Rhinolophus ferrumequinum: one gene and its partners. The protein of the gene in region 1 purifies or fractionates together with the protein of each later gene. This does not show direct contact. Links are inferred from orthologs where the notes say so. Each region holds a gene or a part of one and is shown in the gene's direction. Other genes may lie near its edges.

Region 1 (7,086 bases):
TTGGTGGAATGCAGCCATTTTAATTTCTACGCTGTAGCTTAAAGAGCACTATTTTGTCAAGATCAACTGGTAGGCCGTAACGAATTATCTCTGGGAAGTGGCTATCAGGCAATTGAAGTGTGACAAGACCAACTTGAATTTGATTATCCTGTTAGTCTCTGTGGAATTGTAACACAGGTTTTCTCTGATGAAGCTGTCATTCAATCCTAGCTTACCTATACACCAAGGAATCAGGTAATTTCTGCTGAACTTTGTTGGGAGTATACGGTTCCCAGCTCCCATGTCACACTTAACAACACTGAATTGAGCAGTGTCTTTGTGGTACCCCCACCTACTCAACAATGGTTCTTGGTACAGGACGGATACTGTGTGAGATATGGCTATGCCCACTTCAGAGAACACTGGTTGACACTTTTTTATGGACCATGCAATTACTCACTTCCAGGGAATTTCACCCAGCCTTTCACTTAGGAAATCTAGAAGCTTGTGTCCTTGGACATGGAGCAGCAACACAAAGTAGCCCAGTTTATAGATGTCACGTGGCATTTTACTTTTATATACTTACATGACTTTAATTCATTTCATCTATTGTAATCCCCTTCATGATGCCTTTGAGAAGAAGACCTTTGTGTTTTTAACTGTCAATGTGAACACAAATTCATGAATAAAACTTGACATATTTTACTGTAAAAAAAAAAAAGTTGGTAGAGAGACTTACTTTTAACTAGCCTGTGTAAATGTTATCATGTTCGTGTATATTTCAAAGTCCGTACATCAACAACATGGATAAATCTCACAAACATAACGTTGAATGAGAGAAGTCAGACACAGGAGAATATATATCGTATGATTCCATGACTATAAAGGACAAACAGGCAAAACTATGAAGTTAGAAATCAGGATAGTGGTTACTCTTGGGAAAGGGGGTAGTGACTGGAAAAGGAGGACGAGGGGTCCTCCTGGGGTGCTGAAGATGTTCTGTTTCTTGATCTGGGTGCTGGTTTCACAGGGGTGTTTAGTTTGTGAAAGTCATCCAGCTATTTATGTTCTGTATGTACACTTCAATAAAAAAGTCTTTAAAATGTATTAGAAGTGTAGTGTAGAGGCTTGTGGCACTGTCCATCTTGATCCAATCTGTGAAGACACGTAAATGGACCTGGACAGGACTTCCATCATCGTGGCAGAGACACATTTTGTCCAGGCCGGTGGTTTGTGCCAAAGGTGAACACTTGGGCTCTAATAGCCAAGAGCAAACCCAGCAATGAAGTTTGACCTGGGGATGATTAGGGGAGTCTGGATGGAGGAGGGCAGCCATGTCCTGACGCACCCACTTAACTCAGCAGCACTGCTTCAGCTTTACCTTAAGGGGGACAAGTTAGTGAAAAGACATTGGCGATATTCGCCAGCGTCTCCCAATGAGCCCCTTCTAGACCTTTCTGAGTCTACTACTCACTCCTGGACAGGGTTTCTTGGCTGATGATGAGAATTCATGTCTTGAAATTTCTTTGGTGGATATTCCATTATCTAAAATAAAAGGTACTGACATCTGTGCCTCCCAAACATTATAGTATCCCAGCCATCCTGCCCTGAACTTTGGAAGACAACACAGTTCTGAGCCTTCCCAGTCACATGAAAATTCAGCCTTGGCAGATAAACAGTGGTGATCCCCTCTCACCTACCCCTCTCATTGTTACTTGGCCAGTAGCCAGAATCCACACCTAACATGGACTGAGAGGTGAAAAGCAAAGCAAGAGGAAAGAAGAAAAGAGTTCCTTAGAGGAAATTGCTAATTTATGTCATTATAAACCCAGGGAATATCTGCAGAAGTGTCAACTTTGTGTGTGCCAGATTAAGGACAGTGAGCATAATTTTGGATGGGGCTACATTTATCACTATGGGTGTAGATTGGTGATGTTCAAAGTGTGGTCCACAGACTGATGCCGCTTCACAAACTGCTTCTTTCAGGTCCAGGATAAGTATAGAATTTAAAAGTAAGCATTTAAAAACTCATACGGCATTTGTCAGAGTACTTTTATATATGTTGATTACAAACAAACAAAAATGTGGGCTTGTAATTTTTATATTTTTTAGATTTCATTCTTTCAAGAACTCATTTTTATTGTATTTTATACAAGTATCATCTGTGATAGACTGAAAATAATCAAGACTGGTTCTTCCCTCACAGATCATTTATAACAGAGATTTTTGTTCACTAACGGAAACAGTCAGCTGATAGTTGCCGAGCTGATAGAACAGGTTTTTTTTTGCTTTTATGAATAATGCAAATCCCAATTTTATGCTCGCCCATCAAATATTCCTGAAAAGCCAAATATGTTCTGACATAATGTGCAAGTGGGAATTTAATTACTCCAAGGGACAGAGGTACTGTATTAGATCTATCAGGCATTATGTCCCCTGATAGCTTCCAAAAGAGTCTCCCTTCACTAACTCCTGAGAAATAAACTGTACTGCAAGTGATAGGATATTTATAAAGCTTTTTATTGGCTAGTCTCTCTACGCCAAGTATGTTGATGAAGGCATCGCTATTGAAAAGGGCTCCCAGATCTTAGGAAGTGGGGTTGGGTTGACCCTCAGTGAAAACCTCCAGAAGCAAAATGATTTCTCACAAATGGCAGCAGGGTGGTCATGATCCTCAAATCTCTGCATTAGGAAAGGAGACCTGTTGCCTCATGTAAGGAAAATGTTGAGATAGGCATCTAGAGGCTCAAAACATATCATCAAGGTCTTAGGTTCTTCCCAGACATCTCTCCTACCTTTTGCAATGTCACCTTCATTCTCAGGCAGCACCACCAGCATCAATGCCAGGCTGTTTGCTTCCTGGTCCACTTCTAACAGGAGAAAAGGAGTTTCTGCCTAGCGTTCTGGAGAATTCTAAGATTCCCACTAAATGGCCACCTTAGGTCACATGTTTATCCCTGAATCAGTGACCATGATCCTGGAGTAAAAGGTGTTGACATGTAAATCAAACAGGGTCTACTCCTGGACCGGGGATGGGGTCAGCTTTCATCTCACAAAACTCAAGGTGCTTTCAGGAAGTGGAAATCACTCAGAGCATGGATGCTGGCTAGCTAAGCATAATGTCCGCTACAAAAGGTCTTTATCAGGTTAGGGATTTGGAGTTAGCAGCAACAGAAACTGACAACAAGAATGCGGAGACAGGCAGTTCCCTAAAGCAAAGTTAGGGTGTTATTATTTGAAGACAGGAAGGGTGCTGGATAGGCAATACTACTACTTAGAAATATCTGCTAGTTATTTATTTCATAGAAGGTCTCAAGATGTATTTATTTAACCCAATAATAAAATTTGGGATCGGAAAGAAAAGAAAAGTAGGGAGGGTCGCCGGAAAGTGAAAGTGAGAGTCAGTCCAAATAACACGGCCTTCATCAGGAGACCTGCAGAGAAAGGTCTGCTGGTGGAAAACTACTAGGAAGGTGAGCGAAAGACTTTAAAGAACAAAATAGTAATGACACAAGAATAATTTACTATAATTGAGTCTAGATCCAAGTATCTGCGATGACTTCATATATCAAGGGTAGCATTTAAATTCCACTGGGGATAACTAAAATCCTTGGGCATTATATATGAGAGAAACATAGAAAGACTCTGGAAAAAAAACACAAACAACAAGTAAATAAATAAATAAATCCCACTAGGCATGGTGTAGTTTAACAAATTGTGCTGGCATAACTGGCTCTCTATCTGGCAGAAAACAGAGTTAGACCCTAGTTCATACATACACAGGGGTAAATTCCAGCTATATTAAAGATATATATATATGAATATTTTTATATATATATATGAGAATATTTGATTGGGAAATAAGGGAAACTTGCCTAAACCAGAACCCCAAAATGCTGCGGCTCGCATTCAGTTTCTTCCTTTGGGACCCTGCGGGGCTACGTCATGGGAAACCCAGCCAATGAGCATTGGGCCTGGGCGGTGCGCTCAGCCAATGGGGCTAGGGCGGGAGATTTGAAAGGGCCTTAGCGGGGGGCGCGGCCGGGGCGATTCAGTCGTTTGCTAGCAGACAACAGGTTGGCTGTGCCGCGGGCTCCAGGGGAGCTGACCTTCTTTCGTGGGTCTTGCGCTGGGAGAAGGCAAGTGATCAGACAGGTCTGGGGTCCATTGGGCTGGCCCGCGCGCACTCGGTCCGGCTGCTGGGTGCTCAAGGTTTAGAGATAGGGTCCTGGAAAGGGGTGGGGCTTGTAGCAGGGCGGGGGCCGCGAAGCCAGCTCCCGGGTGCGCTGAAGCGGTCAGTTTGCTGATATCACTTTCACTGGCCTTTGGCAATCGCGTCTGGCTACATCAGTCCGACCCCTCCTTTTCTCCCTCTTTTTCCTGTTTCTAACGGCTCTTTCTTTCTTCCTTCGTTGCTCAGCTCTCCTCCCCCTTTCCCTCTAAAGATGACTCAGAAGGAGAACGCATACCCCTGGCCCTACGGCCGACAGAAGGTAAGGGCTTTCCCACTTATCCTCCCCCCACCCTCATGGCGAGTTCCTGCTTCGAGATTTGAATTCCTGTAGAGGGCGATCCTCTAAGCACTTTCCTCTCCCTTATGCTCCAAGAGTTTGCTGGCAGAATCTAGTCTGATCATTTGCAGCCACATCCGGTCACGTGCTGCCAACTTGAATCTGACCAGTCTTGTAGGGACCTCTGCAGGGCTGAGCCTTCTTGTTATATACAAATGATAACAGACTGAGCAAGCAGGGTCTGGCCTTCGGGCCATGATTCCCAACCCTTGTCCTGAAAAAAAATAGGCTTAATAATTTGGACTTTATTTTAATGACGGGTGTGAGATAAGGATCTAAATAGATTTATTTTCCAGTTATCCCAACACCTTTCATTGAAGAGTCTATCCTCTGATTTGAAATACCAGCTTTATTATATATATTAAATTCCCACATATACGTGGGTCTATTTCTAGACTCTTTTGTTCAACTTGCTTATCTGTAAAAGTCGCGTCCAGCGCAACACGGGCAATGAGGATGCGAGAAGGGGCGGCTTTGGGTTAAGTTTTTAAGAAAGAAAGAAACAGAGACTTAATGCAGTTAAATCTCAGAAGGTCAGGGGACTCACAGTTCTCAAAGACTGGAGCCCAGAATAAAGCCGACTGGTGGTATCTATTGACAAGTATACAAGGAAGTGTTATTGCTTCTGACACAGTCTGTGAGACTCATCCATCACGTTATAGAAACAATCCAAATCAATTATGTTGGTCCCCAAACAGCTGAAGCAAAAGTCCTATGATGACTGAGGTGAGGTATGTGACTCCCTAAAGGATGTATATCACATGTTGAGACTGTTTTATAGAGCTGAGCAGAGAGAGCTTGATCTTATCGCTCTAAAGACTTTTCTCACAATTAGGTGAAAGGGGAAAACCAGAGAGTCAGCAGTGGTTTTTCCCAGGCAGGGGGAAGGGGAGACAAGGCCCCTTCCCAAATCTTTTTAAGGCAGCTCATGGGGGTCTCCATGGGGTTCCGCCTGGCTTGAGTTGTCCCCCCCCCTCCCGTGGGGAATCGTACTCGTCATTGGCTGCAACCCCTCTTTTGGAGACTAAATAGAGAGAAATATACAGTCCCAGGGATGCACAGTCTCACAGACTCTTCTTTCCTTAAGGAAAGACATGGGGGGACAGTCTGCTAGGCTGTTGTGTGACAACATGTAAATTCTATACTAATATCACTGTTTGGGAATAGCCTTTCTTCCTCTCTTGGCTAAATTAAAAGGAAGGAGCCCACACAGGCTTTGCTCCCTATTTGTGGGCTTCAGTATCCGGGAGGGTCCACCTGTCCCCTTGTCTACCAGCTCCCTCCCTCATGGAGCTGTCAAGAGCAGAGGCTGAGTGAGAAACCACTGTCACTTCTACACTGGTCACTCCCAGAAGGAAGTTGTGTATATTACCCAGAAGTTGAAAGTGAGAAGTGGTCCAAAGCCAACAAAGTAGCCCTCAGTGTCCCTAAAGCCTGTGGTTGCAAGGGGTAAACTGATGTTTGCTGAACATTCAAGGACCTTATCTAAGCCTTACTAGACTGAACTCTTTAGGGGACTGTGAGAATGCCTCTGTGCTGAAACTCCTTGAATTGTGGATCTTCATTGCCCCAGCCCTCTCTACTGTCCCCTGGGGTGGGGGGTTGGTGAACGAGTGGTGTTATGGTCAGGACTATAGAGATTGGACAGCTTCATGCTAGAGAATGTAGTGAGGGCCAAGGCCAATGAGGTGAAATGTTAGGTGTTGGGGTAAGTCCTTTGCTCCTTATCTTCGGCCCGTTTAGCTTATTTATTAATAACCCATTAATATGGGGCTCTGAGCAGCAATATTTGAGTAGCAATATTGTGGTCACAGTGCTCCTCTTTCAACTGGGAGTGGGTGGCTCTAAGCGAGAATGCTGCTTGTAGCACATTCCAACCTGGTCACTGGGACAAAGGCACCCTCAGAGCTCCCTGTGCTCTTTCTCAGGCTCATTCTGGCTTGAACACCCTGCCTCAGAGAGTCCTCCAGAAGGAGCCTGCCACCCCATCTTCGCTTGTCCTCATGAGCCGCTCCAGTGCCCAGCCCACAGGTAACTGGAACAAGGGGAAGAGGACTGACCTGAAGGAACTAGAGTCTGGGGAGGGTGCGGGGATGAAAATGTCAAAGGACGGCCTCAACCTCTCTGTTTTCTCCTTAGCTGCCCATGGCCAGAACAGCAGTGGGACACCCAACTTAATGTAAGTGCCCAAGCCTTGGGGTGGCAAGAAGAGCGGATGGGAGAGTGAACAGGTTGGAAATGAGGGAGGTAGAAGCTAGGGGCAGGAGGAGGAGGGATGCAGGCAAGAAAACCTGATCCATCTTCGACTCCCTTGGAAGAGAAATGGGGCTGAGGGCAGGATGAGCTGAGGTGCAGGGAGAAGCCAAACAGCTCAGGTGATCCACAAACTGGTACTCAGCTGCCTTCCCCCCACTCTCTAATCAGCCGGTCCTTCACAATTGACGACTTTGAGATTGGGCGTCCTCTGGGCAAAGGCAAGTTTGGAAATGTGTACTTGGCTCGGGAGAAGAAAAGCCATTTCATCGTGGCGCTCAAG
Region 2 (7,265 bases), on another chromosome or scaffold:
AGTGCCTTGCGGCTCAGCTGTGTTGACACTTGTCTCGGCCTTGCTGGCCTCGGTGTGGGGTCGTGTTGGAAGGGCTGGGGGATAGGCCAGACTTGCAACTTTTTAAAGAGTACACACACTTAGGAAGTTTCTTAACACGTCCTTTGCTTCTAAGGTTCTGAAGTTGTTTTGTCTTCAGGGGTTGAAAGATTTCTACTGAGCCATGCAGGTGATGAGATAGATTTACATTTGAACCAGGGAGCAGCATTGTTATGTTACCAAGATGTTGCAACGGAGGTCAAGTGCTGGTGTTTTGTATCAAGGGTTAGAGGATGTGTAAACCAGCCTGCTCGTTTCGTGAGGAAAGTATTACAACAGCGTCTGGACACATCTCAGCCATTTAAAATCAGTTTTTGCAGCTTCACTTTGAAATGCCTTGGAGATGGGACACGGGTTGGTTATTAAGGTTTTGTTTTATAGATGAGATGTGATAAAAATGTTTACATTTTTAAAAAGTTTATTACAGTAAAAGACACTGCCATTAATCCCCCTCAAAGTACTCCCACACACCTTCAACACACTTATCCCGTCGTTCCTGCCACTTTCTGAACCAGTTCTGGAAGTCCTCTTTCCTGAGTGACTTTAGTTGTGCTGTTGTGGCTGCCTCGATGTCCTGAATCGATTCCAAACGTTTGTCTTTCATGGTCGTTTTGACTTTAGGGAACAGCCAGAAGTCACATGGTGCCAGATCTGGTGAATAAGGTGGATGAGGACACACCGTAATGTTTTTATTTGACAAAAATTGCCATATACCAGAAGCGATGTGTGACATGGAGCATTGTCACGATGGAGGATGATTTACACCACACTTTGAAACACATCTTCTCTCAACCGTAGCTCACACCCAACTGACTGCACCGAACAAGTTGAAACTTGTCACACACTTACTAAGGTTTGACAGGCTGCTTCCCATATGAAAGATCCCTGCCTTTCTGTTGGGTGGCACTCAGCAGCAGCGTTCACTGTATTTTTTTATCACACCTTGTACATATGATGCAGGTGCTACCAGAGGTATTTCCTATCCTCATATATGACAAGAAGCAAACTGAGTCACAGACAGTTGTTCCTAGAGTGACACTTGTGCAATTTGAGCACAGCCACCCTCCCTGCAGTTTTTTTTTTTTCCATGCCCTTTCTTAGGGTTGTGGGTACTGTTATCTTAAAAAGATAAGACAAGCAGCAAAAGAGCACTTCTTTCTTGTTCCTTGTGACTCATTCACCCTTAATAGCAGTTACTACAGTAAGTCTCAAAATTGTACTGAGAGTTTGTTTTAGGGTAGTGTGTAAACTTTCATATGATTCCTTCTTTTCTCAGTGTCAGCATGGGTTTTTGTCATTTTTAGCAGTGTTTAGACTCCCGCTTCTTTTCCTTTAATATCTAAATGTGTTTGTACTTAGAAAAGTTGGAGTTTATGGTGTCTTTGGGTCAAGTGCTTAGTCTAGCAGAGCTGTCACTCCAGCTGTCACCATGGGGGAGGTCGTAGGCAGAGGGCAGATGCAGGTGTTTCTTCGTGCTCCTGTTGGTTTACACACTTGCAGCTGGGGCAGTGGCTCTGGGAGGGGAGGAGTGTGCTTTAAGTATCTCAGTTCAGTAGCTAGGAATTTATATTGGACACGGGTCATGCCAAAATATTTCACGGACACAAGCAAGTTAAATCGAAGACTAGGTTTATGAATAATGCATCTTAAAATCAGCTGGTCTTTCTGAAACTGTCTTTTTAAAGTTAGACGACTTGAGGCTACAGCATGACTTACTGGACAGAATAAAATTCCCTGTCATCAGGAGGCAAATGACACGCAGTTGCATTGTTTTTCTGCTGGTGAATAGAGAAAAAAGATCAAAAGAATAAGATTGTCCAAGATTGTTTCAAATGGAATTGGTATATTGCTAAAAAGCTCTCACTTTGTGGTCAGGAGAGTAGCGTTTGCTTCTGAAACGATTCTCAGTCTAGGAGCTGAGGAAATTTTAAGTTTCTGCAAGGAAAACATTTAAGTATAAACATGGGAAATGTAGATTCTGGTAAGATTTCCTTGTTAAACAGTGGTAGGAATTAGTGCACCCTAGAATCCTCTGGGAGTAGAATTTGATCAGATTAGACCTAGAAGGGACCCTAGAAGTCATCACATTAATTCTCTCCTTTATGGCTAAAGACACTGGGTTGCAGCGAGAGAAGAGGTGTGCCCAAGCCACTCGGCTGGACGCCCAGTCTTGCTCTCACAGTGACGCCTGATGAACAAATCCTATAGGCCTGTGCTCCGTGCTTTGTTTTTTTTAAGCTACTTAGAATGGTTGAGGGTCTTCTGAAGCCTTGCAAGGAGGAAGTTGTGTCCCGGAAGACGTCCTGGGTACCTGTTTCACAAAGGAAAACGCTCAGCCTGTTCTACCCTCAGTCCATATAAAGCTGAGCCGTAAATGTTCTTTGTTTTAAAATGACAGCTTGGAACCAAATGAAGTCTCTGATGCTGTTCCTAGTATATAACATACAGTCTATTAAATTTGAGTGAGCTGCAAAGTGTTAGTCGGGAAGGGTTTCCTGTTGACCTAGGACAGCGTGTGCGGGCAGTGATGGTAGCGAATCAGATTCGTAGGATTCGTTTTCAGTTGGGGATAGGAACTTTTATTTGTAAAGTGCTTTACCTAAAGTACATTCATAAGTGGTTTTTTAATTTGCACATTAGAAAGATTTCCAAGAACCAAAACATGTGGATTCAACTCCAGAGTCCTTGTACCACCTCTGCCTTTGGTGTTTACTTTCCTCTGTGATTGGCTAAAGTTAATCCGTTTGTGAGGGTGGTGCTAGGGAGAAAAGGAGGGATACCTGCAGAGAGAAGCGTGTTGTAAAGAGGCAGGACTAGGACTTTTTGTTTTCAAAGTACAGGTTAACTGTTCAAGGTTATACCTGATATATTTTATTTAAAAATAATCAACAACAGAAAACACTGTAAAGAGGATTTTTACTCCTTGGTTTCTATAAAAGTTTTGTTGGCGCTCTGCCTATTCTTCAAAATGTTTGAATCAAGTCATTTGGTCACTTTTTTTAGTTTGTTTCAATGTTATTGACTATTTTCCTTATGCTATACCCTACGTCCCCGTGACTACTGTGTAACAACCAATTGGTGGTACTTTTTTTTTTTTAATTTTTTTATGTGGGAATATTGGGGAACAGTGTGTTTCTCCAGGGCCCATCAGCTCCAAGTCGTCGTCCTTCAATCTAGTTGTGGAGGGCGCAGCTCAGCCCCAAGTCCAGTCGCCGTTTTCAATCTTTAGTTGCGGGGGGGCACAGCCCACCATCCTATGCGGGAATCAAACCTGCAACCTTGTTGAGAGCTCGTGTTCTAACCACCTGAGCCATCCGGCCGCCCCCTCATTTGGTCTCTTTGACAGCTGCTTTACATGGACTTGGCATTTACCAGGCATAGTGATGACGTGCCAACAGTCAGGCAGCTCATTGTGCTGTTGGTATTCAGCCAGTCCAAGTGCAGAAAATGAGACTTACGTGGTGGGATAAAAGGCATTTTAGATAAATACGGTTCATGTTCCTACTTTGCAGCTTGCATCACTCTGTACTTTATAATATTTTTTCACTAAAGAAAACGGAAGAGCACATTTTAAACTTTGGTTTTCCTTTTGAGAGTTAGAATGAACCTGTATGAGAAGTGTGATATGCAGTCTTCAGGGAGCTGGCTCTTTCTGGGTCTGGTGATAAGTTACAGGAAAAGTTACTGTGTCCCTGCTAGTCAGTCAGACCGGCAGGTTCTCCCTCATCCCTGCCAGCTTGGTGAGGGCACCATGGAGGCAGCGGGCATTCTGGGTGGGTATTTTGCTGGGCTACGTAACTGAGCCCCAGAGAAGGGCAGTGACTTGTCTGAGGTCATTCAGTTAGTCAGTGCACAGCCAGCTTCCATGTTCCGGCCCAGTGTTCTCGCTCGATGCTCTGCTGCCCAGAGCTCCCGGGACGGCGGCAGTTCTGTCCGGCAGTGGGGGGAGCAGACATGTATCCCTCAGGACTTATGTAATGTGAAATCTGTGACAGTCTTTGTCTTTTTTCTTAATTTCCTTATTGCAACCGTGACTGAATATATGGATTTTATGCTAATTTTTTTTCTTTTTCTTTTTCAGTTTAGATTAAGGAAAGCCTGTATCCTGCATCTTTCCGTGAGTGGCATCTGTCAGTCATGCAGCCACCACCCCAGGCCGTCCCACCCGGCGTGGTGGGGCCACCTCCAGCCGGGACCCCTCAGAGCACACACTGGTCTAGCAGCCCGTATAGGAGACAGGCGATAGCTAGTGCACCAGTGGCTCCAGGAGCTCGCCCATTGCAGCCGGTGACGGACCCATTCGCTTTTAGTAGACAGGCGCTCCAGAGCACATCGTTGGGCAGTTTGTCCAAAAGCAGCCCACCTGTTTTGCCGGGCCCGGCCTTGCCAGCGTTTCTTCAGCGCTCTGGTCTGCCTGTGCCTCACACAGATGCTGGGGGTGGCTCCCAGGGACCTCACGAGCCTCTGCCGGGATCTGTGTCGCAGCCCAGGGCAGATGCGGGCTCATTTTCCAGTGTGTTGACCTCTTCAGCACCGCCTGGGCCCGAGATGAACAGGAGTGCCGAGGTCTCGTCCAGCTCCGAATGGGAAGCTCAGACTCAGTACATTCCAGGAGCGGGTCCTGACAGTTCTCATGGGGGCCATCCACATGGGAACCTGCCTGGGCCCGACAGGCCCCCAAGTGGGCAGAACCCGCACGACAGTGCTGTGGCACCAGCAACGTCCCATTTCTTCCCTCAGCCTCATCAGCAAATGTCAGGGCGGTGGGGGCCAGTGCAAGGAGCCCCACAGCCCCCAGCTCAGCATTACTGGCCCTGTCCAGAAGGACCTGTTCAGAATGCGGTGTCCCAGGCCTCCAGCGTTTCCCACCTCCTCGCTCCGTCCACCCCACATCAAGGTCCTGGCCACGAGCCACACAGCCCACTGGTGTCTTTACCAGGACCCATGGTTGGTGACGGAAGAGATGAAGCAGCCTACCTGCAAAGTGGAAACCACTCAGCAAGTAACTTTGATCTTGAAAATGCATTCAGGCAGAATTTCCGAGTTGGGAACACTCGGGCTGGCCAGGACTTCCGGCCGAATCCAGGAGTGAATAAAGAGCAGTTGCCAGACTCTGCTTCTGTTAACCCCCTCGCTCAGGGAAATAGCCCCGAAAGTCATTTGCACTATGCCGTGGGGGCCGGGACCAGCCGGGCCCCGCCAGACGCCGACTCAGGTGCGCTCTCCATGTTTTTCCAAGGGGGAGAGACAGAAAATGAGGAGAACCTCTCATCTGAGAAAACGGGCTCTGCTGGTCAGTCTGCCTTGGACGGGTTCTCCCCCAGCCCTGGACTTGGCCATCCCCCTGCATACGTGGGGGCAGGCGGCATGTACCAGGCCTGTCCCAGCGCCTCCAACTGTGAGACCACGCCGCAGGGAGGAGACACGCACCCATTCTTCCCTCGGTCTTCAGGCGTCCAACATGATAAGCCAACCACTGAAAACGCTGCTGTTGATGTGTGGGCTGACACGGCAGGTGCGGGGACTCGGGACGCTGGTGGCTCACACTGTGAGAATGCCGAGAACTCAGAATTCACTCAGAATCAAGAGGTTCTGCCACGTGAACCCCCCAGTTTGGACCCTTCCTCCCCAGGCGATCAGCTCAGATACGGGCCCGTTCCCGGAGCAGCCGTCCCCAGGCGCAGTATCATGGGCCACGCTGGAGGTGGGGGCCCAAATCTCGAGGCCCTGGACCCTCAGCTTTATTCCGTGTGCCCCGACGGCTTGTCGTCCAGTTACAGTAGCAAGAGCCACAGGAGTCGTCCAGGTGCGGCCAGGCCCCAGGACCTGGGCACCTTCATTCAGCAGGAAGTTGGGAAACCTGAGGACGAGGCTTCAGGGATTTTTTTTAAGCAAATCGATTCTTCTCCTGTGGGGGGCGAGACAGACGACACTGCCGTGAGCCAGAAGTACCACAGCAGCCTGCCCCAGCCCTCAACCCCAAGTCCCCCAAAACCTACAGGGATCTTTCAGACAAGTGCAAATAGTTCTTTTGAACCCGTGAAATCCCACGTAGTTGGAGTGAAACCAGTCGAGGCCGATCGTGCTAATGTGGTGGGCGAGGTGCGGGGGACCCACGCCCAGCGGAGGAAGCGCAGACCGGCCGCTGTGCCGCCCGACGCCTGCCCTGGCAATCTGGAGCAGCCACCGGACAACATGGAGACGCTCCTCCCCGCCCAGGCCTGTCCTCTGCCTCTTGCTACACCTACGGACGCTGGTCAGGGGCTGGGGCCGCCCTCGGAATCCGTGCTTCTGACACCTGAGAAGAGACCGTCGACCAGGGCTCAGGGAGCCGTCAAGTGTGAGAGCCCGGCAACGACGCTCTGGGCCCAGAACGAGCTGCCAGACTTCGGAGGCAACGTCCTCCTAGCCCCGGCTGCTCCTGTGCTGCATGTGCCTGCGAAACCTCAGCCGTCAGAAGTGATTCAGCCCCCAGATGAGGGGGTGTCCGGTCAGTTGTCCCCGCAGCCTGGCTGCCTGCCCCCTCTGCAGAGCGGCGACGGCGTTGGTGCTTCTGAGAATCTCGAGAACCCTCCCAAAATGGGAGAGGAAGACACCCTTCTGTCGCAGGCGAGTTCTGGTTCTGGTTATGCCAGTCTGTTGTCCTCACCGCCCACTGAATCTTTGCGAAATCAGCTGGTCTTGATTGCCCAGCCTGATCAGAGCTGTCACCTGGCTCAGCCCATTCATTTTTCTGTGTCCTTGTCAAACCCCAATGAGAAGAGTCGGTCCTGGAGAGACGCTCGGGTGGGAGACAAAGCCACCACGAGCAGCCGGGCCGTGGGGGGTGATGGTGGAGAAGCCGCTCCTCTGTCTGGGGTTCCAGCCAGCTCCCTCACGTGCTTGCTTCTGCCTAACAGTCTTGCCCAGAGTAATTTTCCACAAGTTTCTGCTATCCCTGAAGTGGTTTCCGCCCAACCTGCTAATTTGCTGGTTCAGCCACCATCTCATCCAGTTCCAAAGAGCTTGCTTCCCGAAGGTCAAAAGGTTCATAATGCAGAGGACGTTCTTCCAGAGTTGGTGAATAGCCGTGCTGGGGGCACAGACGGCATGTTGGTGCCGTCCGCAAACAGCACCTCGGGACCGCCCAGTAATAAGGCAGATCACCCCAGTAATCGGGAGGAGACTCCAGGAGCCCTAGACTTGAC
Region 3 (8,051 bases), on another chromosome or scaffold:
CTTCCCGTACCTGAAAAGTGCTTTCCCTTCTTGTCAACCAGCAACCCCTAGTCAACCTCCAAAGCCCAGTTCAAATGAACCCTCCTCAGTAAAACCTTAACTGATGTGTTGCTTTCCACTTACATCCTCAAGTTAGTTACTTCCTTCTCTTTCTGAACCACCATCATTTCAGGGATCACCTTGAATGTAATTATCTACTTAAAAGTTTTCTAGACTAGATTCTAGACTGAATTCCAAGAGCGTTGAGCCTGTCAGATTCATTCAGAGAACCTACCAATGGGCCACAGAGTAAAAATGAGGGATGAGTGCATGAAAAAAGAAAATGAATGAGATTTCTGGGAGATGAAGGGATAAATCCAATTTCAGGCCAAAGCTACAGACTGCTGTCCCCAAAGCCCAAAGCTCAGTGGGATAAATTTCTATGGCCAGGGCCTTCCCGCAGCCACACCTGCCAGACCCATCCCCCAGTCCCACCCGCGTGGCAGCGACAGGGGACAGGAGACAGGGTCGAGAGAGAACAGGCTGGCTCCTTTCCGTCAATATGGCCGAGCCAGAAGCCGAGGAGGGTCTCCCCAGCGCTTTCCACCCGGCCTGAGCCCACTCTCCTACAGGATGCGACCGCCCCTTCCCAGAATCGCCTCAGACCCTGGGTCCTGTGACCCCCAGCTCCAGTCCGCATTACCTGCGGTGGCTTTGGCCCGTACCGGACTGTGGCTCCGCCCCAATGGGGGCGGGGCTTGGGCCTTCGCCCTATCCCAGACCCCGGAGGAGCGAGGCGGCCAACCGCTCCCCTCCTCCCACCCCCAGAGCCCAGCCCCCCGAGAGATCCCTTAAAGGGGTGTAGGCCGGGCTGTGCATTTCTGGGATCAAATAGGCCGGGCGCTTGTAGGGACCTCATCCGCCAGGTCAGCGGTGTAAATAAACCAGGGCTACTTGGAAAAGATTTACACGCGAAATGCGGGGGCCTCCACTTGGATGACCCACTTCCTTCAGCAGCTGGGCTATTATCCTAAAGGGGCTAGCATATTTTCAGTTCCAGCGACTATTAGAAATGGGTTTTGAAAGGGAGAGTTAAGGGTGTTTTCCTAGGTGTGAAATCTACCTGCTCAGTCTTTAGGCCAGTTCAAGATTTGGCACCTTAAAGGGCTGATTCATTCCAGAATTAGCATGTGTAACTATGGCAGGTACTATGCTGAACCAAACAAAAAAGGTCCGTGGCCTCCTGGAGTTTACAACCGTACTAGACAGGGAGAGAGAGAGGTTAAATAGAAAAACAAATAACTAGGTACATTTGTAAAAAGTGTAAGGAATAAAAAGTTCATCAATGAGAGTATTTCTTGGGAAAGTTAAGTTTCTCTGGGCCTCGGTGTTACCTGTCTGTAAGATGGGGCTAATTAAGATTTCTGTCACAAGGTTATGGTGGGGAATACATGAGCTAATATAAAGTGCTCAGTGCCCAGCTGCTGGTGTAGAGCTGGTCCTTTGTAAAGTATAATGCTATTCCTAGCTATAACCCAACTCTAGACGTGAGTCCTGAGTTAGAAGTGTTCATCCGCATTTTCTCTGGTCTCCATAACCATAGGTTCCCTGTGGCTTTCCTCAAAATGGAGAGGCGGCTCACCAATGCCTGTTTCAGAGAACCCCCGCAATCTCTTAGAGGGCTGAGGCCAATTGTATCCTAGGAAATACAAGAAACAGCTAAGGAAGGAAATATGGGAGCTCCTGGAGTACAGAAATATGGTAGCATAGTGGGAAGCAGAAAGAGACACTTGGGTTCAAATCAGGCTCCAGCACTAACCATCTAACCCTGACATTTGGCAAGTTCATTACCCTCTGCGAGCCCTAGTTTCATCATCTACAGAATGGGAATAGTAACACCTACCTCAGAGGAAGCAGTTGAGAGTGTTGGATAGTACAGGTGAAAGGCCAACTTGGTAAATATTTTGGTTACTTGAAACTATAATGAAAATTTATTGACAATATGGTCTGCAGTTCTCTTCACTGCTCAAACATCCTATTTCAAACACCTGGAGTCTTTGTGAGTTCTCATATTAATGGGAAAATCTCCACTGACTGCCAAAGAGGAGTTTAGGGGTATTTAGTCATTCTGCTCTCCTTCAGGAAAGGAAGCCAAGGGCAGGTTGGCTCTGCCATATGTCCATGTGCATCTAGATGGAGATTTCTGCTTAGAGTTGTAGAATGCTCTGATGTCCCCTATGTCTTTTGGCTTTTCAAAGTACTTTTCAAAATACCATGCTGGAGTTGCACATAAACAAGAAAAACTGGAAGAGGTTTGTGGGCAAAATAGCAAACAGTTTTCATTGTGGGACCTATGCTTTTAGACTAGAAATCACATTTCAGAAAGTGCTAGAAGGAACTTTTGAGATCTATTTTTAAAATGGAAATCAAGGCCCAGATAAGTTAAAATGACTAACTCACACAAATGGCAGAACCAGGAGCCCAGATCTTCTGCTTTGTGCAAGGAAGACTAATGACATATTCCAGTCAGCAAGCTCTGTACACTCACTGTCTGTGTAACAAACCACCCAATGTGTCTATTACCTCTTCTAAGAACTCACCCACCATTCAGGGATACCTTCCTCCTTTCTCTATGCTCCTCATGTGAACAGTGAGGGTCACCGAATAAGGTGGGTCTGCAGGATGGAGCTTCTTGCTGCCAGACAATTTGGTAATGTGAGGACTACCAGTTATTTTCACTGGAAAGGATCTCATATGCTTTCATTACCTACCTGATCACTGGCTTATCAGCAAGGGAAGCAATGATGCCGGTGACACTTTCCTTTCAAGCACTTTGTCCTCCTTCCCAATTCTGAGATAGTATCTTGAGTAGGATTCATTCCCAGTTACTGAGGTGCAGAGATGAAAAGTGAACTGCCAGCTTTCCAAAGAGGAGTATAAAAAAAAAAAAGTCAACAGTAGCATATTTTCCTCACTTGGAATTTTTTTCTTCAAGATATTTTGAGCATATTCTCCCTTATACTTTTTCCCCCTAAAGTCTTAAATGTTACCTCTTCAGAAAGGCCTTTCCTGCCGTCCAATGCTGAAGAGCTAACACTCACATTGCACTCACTCTGGACATGACATCGTTTTAACCCCTTTCCACATATTAAATTTATTAAACCTTAGTACAAGCCTATAAAGTATTACTCTGAACATCTCCGTATGGGGTAGGCACTTATTACTATCTCCATATTGTAGCTGAGAAAACTGGAGCACAGAAAAGATAAATAACTTTGCCAAAGTGATACAGTGAGTAATAGACTTGAACTCTGGTTCTAGAGTCTGCACACTTAACCTCCACTATCTTGACAATCTTAAAATAGGCCTCTCCTCCATTTTTTAACTCACAGTACCCCTTCTTTCCCTCTTTAACAGTAATCACACTTTGCATTTAATTACGTGCTCATTTATGTTTATTGTTTGTCTCCTGTATCATTCACATCATAGGTACTATGTAACTATTATTGAACAAATGAAGAAATGTATGTTTGTGAGCATCATTCATTGTGCAACCAATTTTAAAAAATTAATTTTACTAGAAATGATATTATACTTACAGAACAGTTACAAGAAATATATGAAGAACTCCACCCAGAGACTTGATTAAATTTTAGCCAAATGTCCCCCAACTACATTGTAGAACAAGAGGATCCAGTCCAGGGCCACTTGAGTAACAAATATAGATTGAGAACCTGCTACTATTGGATTATGTAACAGTCTCCTAACTCGTCTCTCAGCTGCAACCATTGCCTCCTAGTTTCATATTGCACCAGATCCTTCTAAAATGAGTTAGATGATGTTACTACTCCTCTGCTCAAAACCCTGCAGTAACTCCGTTACATTAAAAGTAAAAATCAGTAAAAACAAAACAAAACAAAAACAACAACATTCTTTTCTCACATCTCCTCTTCTCACTTTGCTCCAACCACACTAATTTTTTTTGCCATTTCCAAGGTTCTAGATATGCTTCCATCTTAAGGCCTTTGTGTTAGCTCTTTCTCATAACTCCCCTCTAGTATCTGCTGGCTAACTCCCCCACCTCTTTGTTGGTTCTTAAAAATGCATCATCTCACCTCCCTTATCATGCTGTGCTTCCCCCCTCCCAGCACTTGATTACTTTTAAATATACTATATATTTATGATATTTATTGCTTATGTTCTGTCTCCTCTACTACAAAGTAGCTATGGGTTGAGGATAGGGATCTTCGTCTATTTTGTTTGCTGAATATCCCAAGTGTCGACAGCTGTACCTGGCACATAGTTGGTGTTCAGTAAAAGCTGTTGAATGAACGAATATTGAAGGTACTTAGTGCCAGATCCTGTTCTTGGAACTGAGGGTACAACAAAAACTACGTGCTCGCATGGGATTCACACTGAAGTATATTTAAACCAGCTAGACCCGTGTTCCAATCCTGGCTCCCGCGCCTATTCCCTTTGAAACTTGGGAAAATTAACCTCTCTGAGCCTTGCTTTCCTATCAATCATTATGAGGAAAAACAGCATTTATATAGCATGTGGCATAAAAAACGCTTTAATATTTGTTTCGCTTCCTTCCAGGCTGGAAGATTCGTAGCCTGACATCTCTGCCACAGATTTAGGCAAGGTTTTCACAAGGCCTCGGAAAGGTGCAAACAGATTACTACGGCCAAGCTTACCTAATTTTTAATTGAAGATGTTCTCGTGACAGAATGCTTAAATGAGTCGTAGTGGGAAACCAGGGAATGACTAGAGTCACATACTTCGCCGTTTTGCATCGGAAAAGCCTCGTTGGGTCCCCAGACGTTAAAGTCTGGAGGAAGGGAAGAGGAGGAAAAGAGGCGTAGTTGGCCGCTACTGAAAACTACAAATCCCATCCCTCTCAGCGGCAGACAACTACGGGTCGCAGCCGGTTTCATTTTATGTAGCCAGGGAGCCCCTTAGGGCCCGCAGCCTGCGTTCAGCGGGAGAAGGATCGGGGCGTGCCGAAGCAGCGGGGAGAATCGGGTCAAGCTTTACGCCGCTGCGCAGATGCCTCTCACGGGCCGGACGTGACGTAGGAAGAGTTCCGGCTTCGGCCTTTGCCGCTGCCGCCGATACTCCAGCCGCCGCCGCCGCCGCCGCCGTCCGGGCTTGTTATTTCTAAAATGGCGCCCCTAGACTTGGACAAGTATGTGGAGATAGCGCGGCTGTGCAAGTACCTACCGGAGAACGACCTGAAGGTGAGCCCGGTCGGGGCGGGAGCGCTGCTGGCGGGCTCGCCCCTTCCGGCAGTGGGGCGCCCGCCGGCCCGCCCTTCTCTACCCCGGACCCCCGCCAGCATCCCGTCCCGTCACGATGGAGGGCCTGACGCAGTGCTGAGCGACCCGTTCCGACTTGCCTTCTTGCGGAGAGCGGAGGGAGCGGAGCCATAGTCCCCCGAATGCTGTCCCAGTTCCGTAGTGGGGATCCTGAGGGATGTCGCGGCCTCTGTCCCAGGGTTATCCCCCCTGGCTTTCGGGTGTCCCGGGGCACTGAGCCCTCACAGCTGTGCTTGGAACAGAAGTCTTCTCGCCCCTAACTCCATCTCCGGTCTTCCGGAGTCCGAACCGAGCCCCAGCAGGCAGTGCCCTCGGAATGGGTCATCCCCCCAAATATGACAGGAGGTCTGGGTGGCTGGCGAATGACAGGAGATGCCGCCGGCCTCCGGAACGCGTCCTCAGTCAGCGTGTTTGGGTTCCTGAGGACTGGAAGACGGTGGGCGGGAGCGGTTTGGTGGTGATGCGGGAAAACGTCAAGTCGTCCCTCTTTTCCTACCACTCCTCCCAGCTGCTTTTCAGGAGTGTTGGTTTTCTTCTGCCAGCTCAGATATGAATTCCATTTGCAAGTATGTTGTTGAGCTAATTTAAGTGGGTAAAACTAATATAAGTGGGTAATTTAGTAGGCCCTCAATAAATACAAATACTTTTCTGTCCTTTAAGGTGTTTCTCCATAATCCTTTCTTAACCCAATATTTCATTTTTTTGGTTTACTAAAGGAGGCGAGTTTTTTGTTACTGCCAAGTCCAAGTAACAGTAAAGTATGTGTGGGTAAAGGAATAAACGTCAGTCTTTGACAAGTGTTTCTATTTCTGTGCGTTTGTTAAAACCGGTGTTTAGGTGTCAGCAGCATATAGCGGTTAGTAGGGCTACTGTCTTTTATTTTTTTCAGTTAACTTTGGTTTGTATGTGGTAAGTGGGTAAACTGTGTAGTTATGAATTTTTTTTTATACTTTTAAGCTGTGGGTTTAAAGCAATTCATCTTTGTCCGTGAATTTTTTTCTTTTAAGGAAGATGTTACTGGTTTTTTTGTTTTGCCCTTTTGATGCAGGAAGTTGATGTTTAATGTCAGTCAAAAAGTATGCAAAATCTTGAAGGCCAAAGGACCTTAATGTAACTTATTGTACTTATAGGTAAATATATGCTATATGATAGGGGAGTCATTCTTGTGCATGTCCCCCTTTTTAATAGGATAATTTAGTGCTCGCTTCGGCAGCACATATACGAATAGGATAATTTAATTAAAAGGAGGACAAAGCCAGTATTAGTAGAAATGCAGCTTTCATGTTCATCTGAGTCCTTTGTGGCTTCTTTCTGCTATATGCTTTTTAAGGAAACAAGGATACAACCAACACTGGTATCCAGTTCATGGAAATCTAACCAGACATCTTTTGGTAACATTGTTAATCCCATGGGTGAAGTTATTGTTTTTTTGTCAGTGAATTGATGTGAAATTTTCTATTCTTTAGCATCTGTAAAGCAGTTTTAAGCTTTGTGTTTATAATTAGTAAAATGTTGCTTATTATGAAAATGTGTCTTGATATTAACTTGAAATTGATATTGAAATTATTTGGATGATACATCAGTTGGATTTTCTTTAGACCTCTTAGTTTGATAAACGTTAGAGTTCCTTCCAACCTTAAGGAAAAATAGTTCTTAAACCATTTCATTTCCCTTTGCAACACAATTGGCGTATACTTAGCATGTATCTAGTTATTAATAAATTTAAAAAAATCTACTGAGGGAAAAATTCTGAATTTTTTTTTAAATAAGGGGAGGCTTTTCTTCTTTGTCTTGGAAATATTTTTATCAGATTAATTTGCTTGTGATGTATGCTCATCTCTGGTGTATTTAAAGAAATTTAATTTTGTTTCTTCTTGGCATGAAGTGCAAACTAAAATTAGGCAGTCCAAGAAAGTATTCCAGGAGTACCTTTTCTAAGGCTTTAAAGCCAAAATAAAAGATTCTGTAAGAGGAAGAAAAGAAATCACTGGGATCACGTAATGATCATTATGGAAAAGATTTGTTCTGGTAGAAAAGGCAGAAATTCAGTGTGTTTTAAATTGACTTTAAGTTGGAGGTACTAAGTAAAATACTAAATGTATAAGATGCTCTAGATCTAATCATGATTTCTCTACACCTAAATTGTAAGTGGTCATGTCACTAGTACACAATCGAATCTTCGTAACTGTTTCGCAGGAATAAGAATGAACTATAAAAGTGAGTGGACCAAAGCATACCCTTTCTTTAAAAAGAGCTCATGTGATTCTCATCCATAAGGATTCAGAGCTGATCATAGAAGACATAGGTAGACTGATCTGATCAAGTGGAAGAATGAATGATAAAAGACTGTTTCACTGAATACTTCAACTTAAATACTTTGGCAGGGGATGGGTTTTATAAGTTGGAGATTGTCTGATCTCTTGGATAGTTCTTAAAGGTGACATGTAAGCAAAGAAATTGCACACTGAGTTGGTGTACAGTTTTTTTTCACTGAGGAACCAAAGAGAGTTACCATGGTAGGGGTTGGAGAATACTAGTGTCTGTCTCAGAGATGCAACACAAGGAATTGTGTGATTCCATAGTAACCACTTTTATGGATTAATTGTTAATGTAATTTTTTTTGGAACTCACTTTTATGTTTAGTCTGAGCCATCTCCTAAGTTTTTCATATAAGGCTACCTGCTCTGCACAGTTGTACCTCTGTCTGAAATGCCTCCATAAAGGTTCAAAGAATTCTCCCTGGCTTTTTTATGA

What was found.
Region 2: the proteins of AURKB (region 1) and SEC16A purify together in Homo sapiens (affinity purification with mass spectrometry; 3 studies listed by BioGRID and IntAct, with this or other methods). This does not show direct contact. The link is inferred for Rhinolophus ferrumequinum from reciprocal best matches to the Homo sapiens genes AURKB and SEC16A.
Region 3: the proteins of AURKB (region 1) and PPP6C purify together in Homo sapiens (affinity purification with mass spectrometry, with the first as the bait; 3 studies listed by BioGRID). This does not show direct contact. The link is inferred for Rhinolophus ferrumequinum from reciprocal best matches to the Homo sapiens genes AURKB and PPP6C.

What each region holds. Positions count from the first base shown.
Region 1 is NC_046304.1:10,789,573-10,796,658, forward strand, and holds the start of AURKB (aurora kinase B), read left to right. Parts: upstream 1-3,987; 5' UTR 3,988-4,118; intron 4,119-4,399; 5' UTR 4,400-4,424; coding exon 4,425-4,472; intron 4,473-6,478; coding exon 6,479-6,581; intron 6,582-6,689; coding exon 6,690-6,729; intron 6,730-6,974; coding exon 6,975-7,086. UniProt on the Homo sapiens protein: Serine/threonine-protein kinase component of the chromosomal passenger complex (CPC), a complex that acts as a key regulator of mitosis.
Region 2 is NC_046295.1:82,364,727-82,371,991, forward strand, and holds the start of SEC16A (protein transport protein Sec16A), read left to right. Parts: upstream 1-4,164; 5' UTR 4,165-4,215; coding exon 4,216-7,265. UniProt on the Homo sapiens protein: Acts as a molecular scaffold that plays a key role in the organization of the endoplasmic reticulum exit sites (ERES), also known as transitional endoplasmic reticulum (tER).
Region 3 is NC_046295.1:74,838,583-74,846,633, reverse strand, and holds the start of PPP6C (serine/threonine-protein phosphatase 6 catalytic subunit), read left to right. Parts: upstream 1-4,982; 5' UTR 4,983-5,144; coding exon 5,145-5,219; intron 5,220-8,051.